Saccharomyces cerevisiae S288C: one gene and its partner. The protein of the gene in region 1 binds, or shares a complex with, the protein of each later gene. Each region holds a gene or a part of one and is shown on either strand. Other genes may lie near its edges. The genes, in order: SLD5 and PSF2. A codon is read from its position in the direction of its gene.

Region 1 (3,712 bases):
ACCGGCATCGTCCATAACAATTACAAACTTATTCTGCTTGAAGTGTTCTATAGCTTGATCAATTGGTGTAAACATTTTCGACGTTGCCTTTTCTTCTTTTCCTTTCCTTTTTTTTAGCCTTCTGCTTTTTGTTGGAGATATTTACATTCACCTCACATATATACGCCAATGAAAATTTCACAATAGCACGTATATTAATAATAGCCTTGCTTTTTTTTATCAATTCTCGCTAAGAAATTACTCATCAGGCAATAACCTATGCTCACCCGCCTCGAAGCGGCGTTAGGAGATAACAGTGGCCGTGTAGAGGGACGTCTTAGCATCGAAAGCCCAATTTACAACAACGAGGCGACCATCTGCACACCACACTTGACACCGTAGAGTGCGACTATTTTCCCCTCCATTGTTTTTTTCGAGCCAGCGTGCACGTAGTACGGGCCCCCCTAACAACAATGGCGCCCCTATGATAGCTTTCCCTGCTCGCGCGTCCCACAGCCGCACCGTCCAGTCCGTGGAACATGATAATAGAAGCATTAGCCGCCGAGCATCGTCCCAATGAAACTCTAACCCGGTTACCCTCGTAGAGTGGTTTTCTGCAGGTTGGAACCCATTGTTGTCCAAAGAGAGGTACAGCGGCCCAGGTTGGTCCCAGAAAACCTTGTATATACCACCGTCTTCGCCACCGATCCAGACGTACTGCGGGTCCTCACTCGTGTACGCCATGCAAGCTATACCTACCTCATCAAACTTTGCCAACCGCTGCAATCGCTCCGTATATGTGCAAGTATCATTCTCCAAAGATAAAAGCTGTGATAGCGGTACAGGACGGAGCTGCTGTGGCTTCCGCAAAACAGTCAAGTCCAGGCAGCTCAACTCCATAATATTGCCATTATCAGCTGCCACAAGTACTCTCTCTTGATCTTGCACGCTGCTTGTTTCAATTACAGCCACCACTGGGTGCTGAAAGTAGTGTCTTGCCACCATATTTCGCTGCACGACATACACTACCGGTGTTTCTGGCTTTTTCTGTTTCAATCTAAGCTCGTACAATATGATCTTGCCCGTCAAGGTCGCCAACAAGATTGATATTACATTGCTTTCCGGATGATACCGACGGAGGATCGTGGCTGTCATGATCCGCGTACCACGGAACTCTACCATATCTATCAAGAGGCCGTTGCGTCCGCTGGCATTATCGCACTTGACTACATTCACCACAGACCACGCCGCTTCGCTGCTAGCATACTGTAGGTCTGCCGGCGGCAATCGTAGATAAACCACAACCAAGACGCCTTTTCCTGGGTCATACTCCTGAGCGATACAATCGCAGTCTGTCTCTGATTGTAAATTCTCACTGACCATGTTCCATTGCATGAGGTTGTCTTTATCCTGTTGCATGTTCGATGGCGCCTGCTGGCCTGACGCAGAAACCTCTGTCTCCAGCCGCGCAAAACTAGCGTTGCTCAGCGTTGCCGCCGCCTCTTCAACAAGAAAAGGTTTGGCTAGTTCTAACCTTGGCTGGTCGTTTTCAGCTTTGTCTTTATTATTTTCGTCGGCAGCAGTAGTTTCAATGGCGACAGCATCAGTAGTGGTGTGATTTTCATTTTCTTGCAGTTGTTCTTCCTCAATTTGATCTGTTTGAATGCCTTTGTCGTATGTTATAACCTCCTTACGTCGAAGATATGCAGATTGGGGCTCTTGAATCTTTGAGCCTTCCTCCATGTCGGTCTGCACTGAAACGCTGACCATGGTTGCCTTAGCGTGCACCTCTGTGGGATGGTGGCCCATCGTCTCGCTCCCAGGGAACAAGCTGGCTTGTTTTCGCCTCTCACGCAGCTCTTTCAATTGTCTCCTTTTTTCCTCCAGTTGCTTCAATCGCTCCATCTTAATGTTTCAATCCTTCTTCCTCTTTGGTTGATTAACCAACTGTGATGCTCTTTTTTCCCTTTTCTCTTTGTTTACGGCAAAACACGAAAACTAGTTCATTTCTTTTTCTTTTCGCCTTGGACTAGTACTGAAAATTTCAATAGCATTATATTTGAGCCATAGGTAAGAAAAACCAAATTTGTTAGTATTGGGAAGGAGAATAAGATACCTGACTCGGTGATGGACATTAACATAGACGATATTCTTGCAGAACTGGATAAGGAAACTACTGCTGTCGACTCTACCAAGATCACGCAAGGTTCTTCTTCCACTACCCACAGAGATGCAAATACAATAGTGGGTTCGTCCTTAGACTTGAATGACAAGACTCAGATATATGTCTCTCCCCAGCAGGATTTTTCTGACTTGATGAAGTCTTGGAAAAATGAACGGTGTTCGCCAGAACTCTTACCATATCCTCATCAGTTGATGAAAAGATTATTGAATCGAATATCCATGCAATCTCAATTAATTGAAAACATTTCAATGGGATTCCTCGATATGCAAAATGCTTCTAATGCGAACCCGCCTATGCCTAACGAATCTAAATTGCCTTTACTCTGCATGGAAACTGAGTTAGAAAGATTGAAATTTGTTATTAGAAGCTACATACGATGTAGGCTAAGCAAAATTGACAAATTCTCACTTTATTTGCGCCAATTAAATGAAGATGAAAATTCGCTGATCTCTCTTACAGATTTACTATCCAAAGATGAAATCAAATACCATGACACGCATTCCCTGATCTGGTTGAAACTAGTCAATGATTCTATCCTGAAATACATGCCCGAAGAACTTCAGGCTATTAATGATACAGAAGGTAGCGTAAACATGATAGATGAGCCCGACTGGAACAAATTTGTCTTTATACACGTTAACGGCCCACCAGATGGTAAATGGAACGAAGATCCGCTATTGCAGGAAAACGAGTTCGGTAAACCTTGCTACACGGTCACAATACCCGATTTAAAGGAAGAGGTTGAACTCACTATTGGAAGTATTTACGTTATGAGATATGAAGTCATTAGGGATCTGCTGAGAGACGACAAAGTTGCTCTTATTTGAACTATTATGCATTACACTTTCCCCTTCACCATGTCTTACATATGCATATATATATATTATCAAGCACAGTTTCATTTTTCATCTGTCCGTGTCATGTTTTTCCGCATTTGTGTCGATCTTGCCAGCAATTTTGAGTAATTAGATGACGATCGGGTCTGCAACGAAGTGGGACGTTTTGTGTGAAGTGCGCCTTCTTCGGGTGTCTTTAAGATGCAACGGTCCGGTAAACCATTTATTAGCCTATTCGATTGAGGTACGGGAGGAGCTTGATTCTTTTTTTTTGTATTCTGTCTTTTTTGAAGAATGAACTTATCAAACATTTTATGGTCCGACTTCGGCGATACTACTTTAGGTTTGGCGGTCATTCCATTATGTATTAATTTCCATAGTTTCATTAAAACTGCTCTCTCTTTGCATCCTATGAAAATCGTCCTGGAACCGTCAATTTCAAGGACTTGATCACTTATAAAGCGTATCTTCTCAACGTCATTCAACTCTAGTTCGAATTGCAATTCAAATTCCTGTTCTTCCCACATGCTGAGACTTCTTCTCTTGACAAAAACAAGTGCTCTGCCTAGGTTTGTTATTAGAAACATTTTCTTGTAAAATTTGCCTGCACTATCAGTAGGAGGCTCGATATCAAGAGGGTTCTTGTAGTCCAGAGCCACGTTCTCAAGACCTACAGGTGAGTCCTCTAAGTTTCGTGTGGAAAGCGCTACCT
Region 2 (2,995 bases), on another chromosome or scaffold:
CGAGCCTTCATAGGTAAGAATTGCAATGCCTTCATAATCACCTATCACAATAATTGTAGCTATTTTTCCATTAATCCTTTTTATGTAGTCATGCAAATCCAAAGATCTTTTAAAGCTCTGATCGATGATGGATTTAAATTTGTTGATATCTAGTTTTGGACTATTGCTCGAGGGTTTTGCTCCTTTCTCAGGTACGTGAAACTTCTTTGGAAGCCCAATTGAGTTGAATTGAGTCAGCGTCTTATAGTCATAAGTTTTGATATGGACGCCCTTTTTGAGAACAGTTGTCACTAAAACTGCATCTGAGTTAGAAGGAGCTGCATTTACCTGTTGGGAAGGCAATTCATACCATGCGTGATCATCAAACATGTTGGCTGGTGAGTCTATCTCGCCGTCCTTTTTTTTAAACCTTGGTAAAGAAGAAGAAATTAGCGATCGGTCTGTCAATAAATTATATACTAAAGGATTTTTCCTATCTGATGATAGTGCGGCAGCTTTGACAGTTGTAATCAGTCCCGTTGCTGTAGCCGCTAGATTTGATAAAACTTTGTCCATCAATAACAGGTTTTCTAAATGATCATGGTATTCACATTCTAAGGAAGATATCTCATCTTTTTTAACGTACACCTCCATTCTGTGTAACAGGTTTTGGGAGCGTGGCTCTCGTTTGGTTAGAGTGCTTATATTGTGAGATAATGACGAGGACAAATGCTCGAGTTCCTGAGAAAGATTGATGAATACATGAGCGTTATCATTTCTCTCTCCCGAAGGTATACCTCCGGCATTATTTAGAATGAAGAATTTGTCAATGTGTGGAATATTCCCTTGGCACAGGCAATCCATAAATTTTACAACATCCTTTGTCATGAATTCTGAAGCAGTCTCTTCATTATACACATAAGGTTTCACAATTGGTATAAAATTGGAATTTCCAATATCAAAGAAACGACTCTCTTGCGAAAAAACAGAATGATATAACCCAGTGCGGGATTTAGTAAGACCCTCCTTAAGGTGAAGTGGCTTTAAATCTGCTTCTGTAACGATACTGTCAAGTAACTCTGCCTGTATATTTACATGAGTTGGCGACGGCGGAATTACAAACATAGGTCGCAAACCTAGCATTCCTAGTCTCTTTATGACACTTGAAAACTGGGACAAAATCGCTGGTGCGACTTTATGCAGGTCCCTGATAAAAAACAAACAATGATTATGCTGCCCACTATCATTTGTATATTTTGAGAGATAATCCTTAGCCTCTCGTTTTGTAGCGGTTGTATTCAGAACTGAAAGGATCAAGTTTTTTGAAGATGCATTGGGTTGATCATACTTGAGTTCATGCGCGAATATTCTCCTCCACATGATAAAAGTAACCGACTAGTGTCCTAGATTGACGGTCCTAGCTTCAAATGTGTTAACTTTCACAATTTATGTCGAACGTGCTTATGACTCCATGGGAAGATCAGTGATGACTAACCTTTTTTTTCTCCAGCGTGAAATTTCTTGTGATATTTTCCATTTAATGAAAAATCAGTCGCCTAAAGTGTAACTATGAAATGGTTAACAAAAAAGAGTTTTATACTTAGAGAGGATCAACGGCTGATCTGAAATAAGACTAGTTTCATAGACGCATGTCACTACCGGCACATTTGCAGCAGACTTTCTCACCAGAAGAAATACAGTTCATTGTGGAAAACGAGCCAATAAAGATTTTTCCCAGAATAACAACACGCCAAAAAATTCGTGGCGATGATAGAGGAACTGGAAACCACACCCGCTGGCAACTTATTACTACAGATGACAAAGCTTTAAATAATATGGTAGCCATGCGTTCTACAGAAGTGGTTCTTTGGATCGCTCTATTACTGAAGCAACAATCCAAGTGCAGTATTGTAGCACCACAGTGGTTAACGACGAAAGAGCTTGATAGAAAAATACAATATGAGAAAACTCATCCGGATAGGTTTAGTGAGTTGCCGTGGAACTGGCTTGTCTTGGCACGTATACTTTTCAATAAAGCTAAGGATGATTTTCATGACCCCATTCACGAATTACGTGGTAAAATACAAGACTTAAGGGAAATAAGGCAGATCAAAGTGTTAAAAGGCCTTAAGTATTTGAATGAATCTCATTTACAATTGGATAATTTAAGTCTATTAGAAATCAATGAGTTGAGGCCGTTCATTACTGAAATCATGGATAAACTGCGAGAAATTCACACAGCATCTCTTACCGCTGGTACTGAAAATGATGAAGAAGAATTCAATATTTAAAAAAGTGCTGGCTTTGCAATAATTAGAACTTTCAGTGATATGCGTATGTATATATATGTACTTGTTGTGGTATCCTAGTTAATGGGCATAGAATGTATTTCATCAAAGCCCAAAATTCATTTTAAAGCCATTTCCGAATGGGAAGCCACTTCCTGGATTTTTGAACATGTTATTTTGCCTAGGCCCCTGAGGAAAAGTGTTGCGGCGGGGGTTTGATCTGGAAAGATCGTATTCCTTCCTTTTATCGTCATCACTTAATGTTTCGTACGCTTCATTGATTTGTGACATAGTTTCGTGAATTGATTCTTGTTTGTCGTTATGGTTGGCCTTTATTTTGTCTGGGTGGTATTTTTTGGTTAAATTTAAATATGCTTTCCTTATTTCTTTCGAACTAGCACTAGGCGATACTCCAAGAATTTTATAATAGTCCTTTTTTGGGTCGTAGTTAGGCGCTGCTGGGGGTGCTTGATGTCGTTGGTGTTGTTGCTGCTGTTGTTGTTGTTGGAAATATTGCTGGTTGAAATTCCGATGTTTATGCTCTTTATAGGTTTGTAATTGTTTCTGTAATAATCGGAAGTTCTTCATCACGTATGGATTGGTCGACTCTGAGAGGCCGTTATCTTGGAAAAATTTGTTTATCTGGTCATATAATTGCTTTTTGAACTGTGAATGAGGTTTAGACCTACTTTTATTAAGTATTGAGTTTACCATATACATCAGCAAAT

The links.
Region 2: the proteins of SLD5 (region 1) and PSF2 are in contact, whole or in part, in a cryo-EM structure (PDB 3JC6), measured with the Saccharomyces cerevisiae proteins. Residues at the interface, in NP_010777.3 of Saccharomyces cerevisiae: Pro56 (codon at 2,272), Gln57 (codon at 2,275), Phe60 (codon at 2,284), Met64 (codon at 2,296), Trp67 (codon at 2,305), Lys68 (codon at 2,308), Arg71 (codon at 2,317), Arg90 (codon at 2,374), Gln94 (codon at 2,386), Ile101 (codon at 2,407), Glu121 (codon at 2,467), Ser122 (codon at 2,470), Leu124 (codon at 2,476), Pro125 (codon at 2,479), Leu127 (codon at 2,485), Cys128 (codon at 2,488), Met129 (codon at 2,491), Thr131 (codon at 2,497), Glu132 (codon at 2,500), Arg135 (codon at 2,509), Phe138 (codon at 2,518), Val139 (codon at 2,521), Arg145 (codon at 2,539), Cys146 (codon at 2,542), Ser149 (codon at 2,551), Asp152 (codon at 2,560), Asn225 (codon at 2,779), Lys226 (codon at 2,782), Phe227 (codon at 2,785), Phe229 (codon at 2,791); in NP_012463.1 of Saccharomyces cerevisiae: Leu3 (codon at 1,635), Pro4 (codon at 1,638), Gln8 (codon at 1,650), Gln9 (codon at 1,653), Thr10 (codon at 1,656), Phe11 (codon at 1,659), Ser12 (codon at 1,662), Glu15 (codon at 1,671), Phe18 (codon at 1,680), Ile19 (codon at 1,683), Asn22 (codon at 1,692), Trp50 (codon at 1,776), Leu52 (codon at 1,782), Thr54 (codon at 1,788), Thr55 (codon at 1,791), Asp56 (codon at 1,794), Asp57 (codon at 1,797), Lys58 (codon at 1,800), Trp74 (codon at 1,848), Ile75 (codon at 1,851), Leu78 (codon at 1,860), Leu79 (codon at 1,863), Gln82 (codon at 1,872), Lys84 (codon at 1,878), Trp117 (codon at 1,977), Glu165 (codon at 2,121), Ser166 (codon at 2,124), His167 (codon at 2,127), Leu168 (codon at 2,130), Gln169 (codon at 2,133).

Annotation. Positions count from the first base shown.
Region 1 is NC_001136.10:1,428,906-1,432,617, forward strand, and holds SLD5 (DNA replication protein SLD5), read left to right. Parts: upstream 1-2,106; coding exon 2,107-2,991; downstream 2,992-3,712. Other genes in the region: 3,4-dihydroxy-2-butanone-4-phosphate synthase RIB3, read right to left, coding at 1-75; PAC11 (dynein intermediate chain), read right to left, coding at 283-1,884; serine/threonine protein kinase PKH1, read right to left, coding at 3,063-3,712. UniProt on the Saccharomyces cerevisiae protein: Required for DNA replication. Functions as part of the GINS complex which plays an essential role in the initiation of DNA replication by binding to DNA replication origins and facilitating the assembly of the DNA replication machinery.
Region 2 is NC_001142.9:304,496-307,490, reverse strand, and holds PSF2 (DNA replication protein PSF2), read left to right. Parts: upstream 1-1,628; coding exon 1,629-2,270; downstream 2,271-2,995. Other genes in the region: ARG2 (acetyl-CoA:L-glutamate N-acetyltransferase), read right to left, coding at 1-1,359; JEM1 (Jem1p), read right to left, coding at 2,373-2,995. UniProt on the Saccharomyces cerevisiae protein: Functions as part of the GINS complex which plays an essential role in the initiation of DNA replication by binding to DNA replication origins and facilitating the assembly of the DNA replication machinery.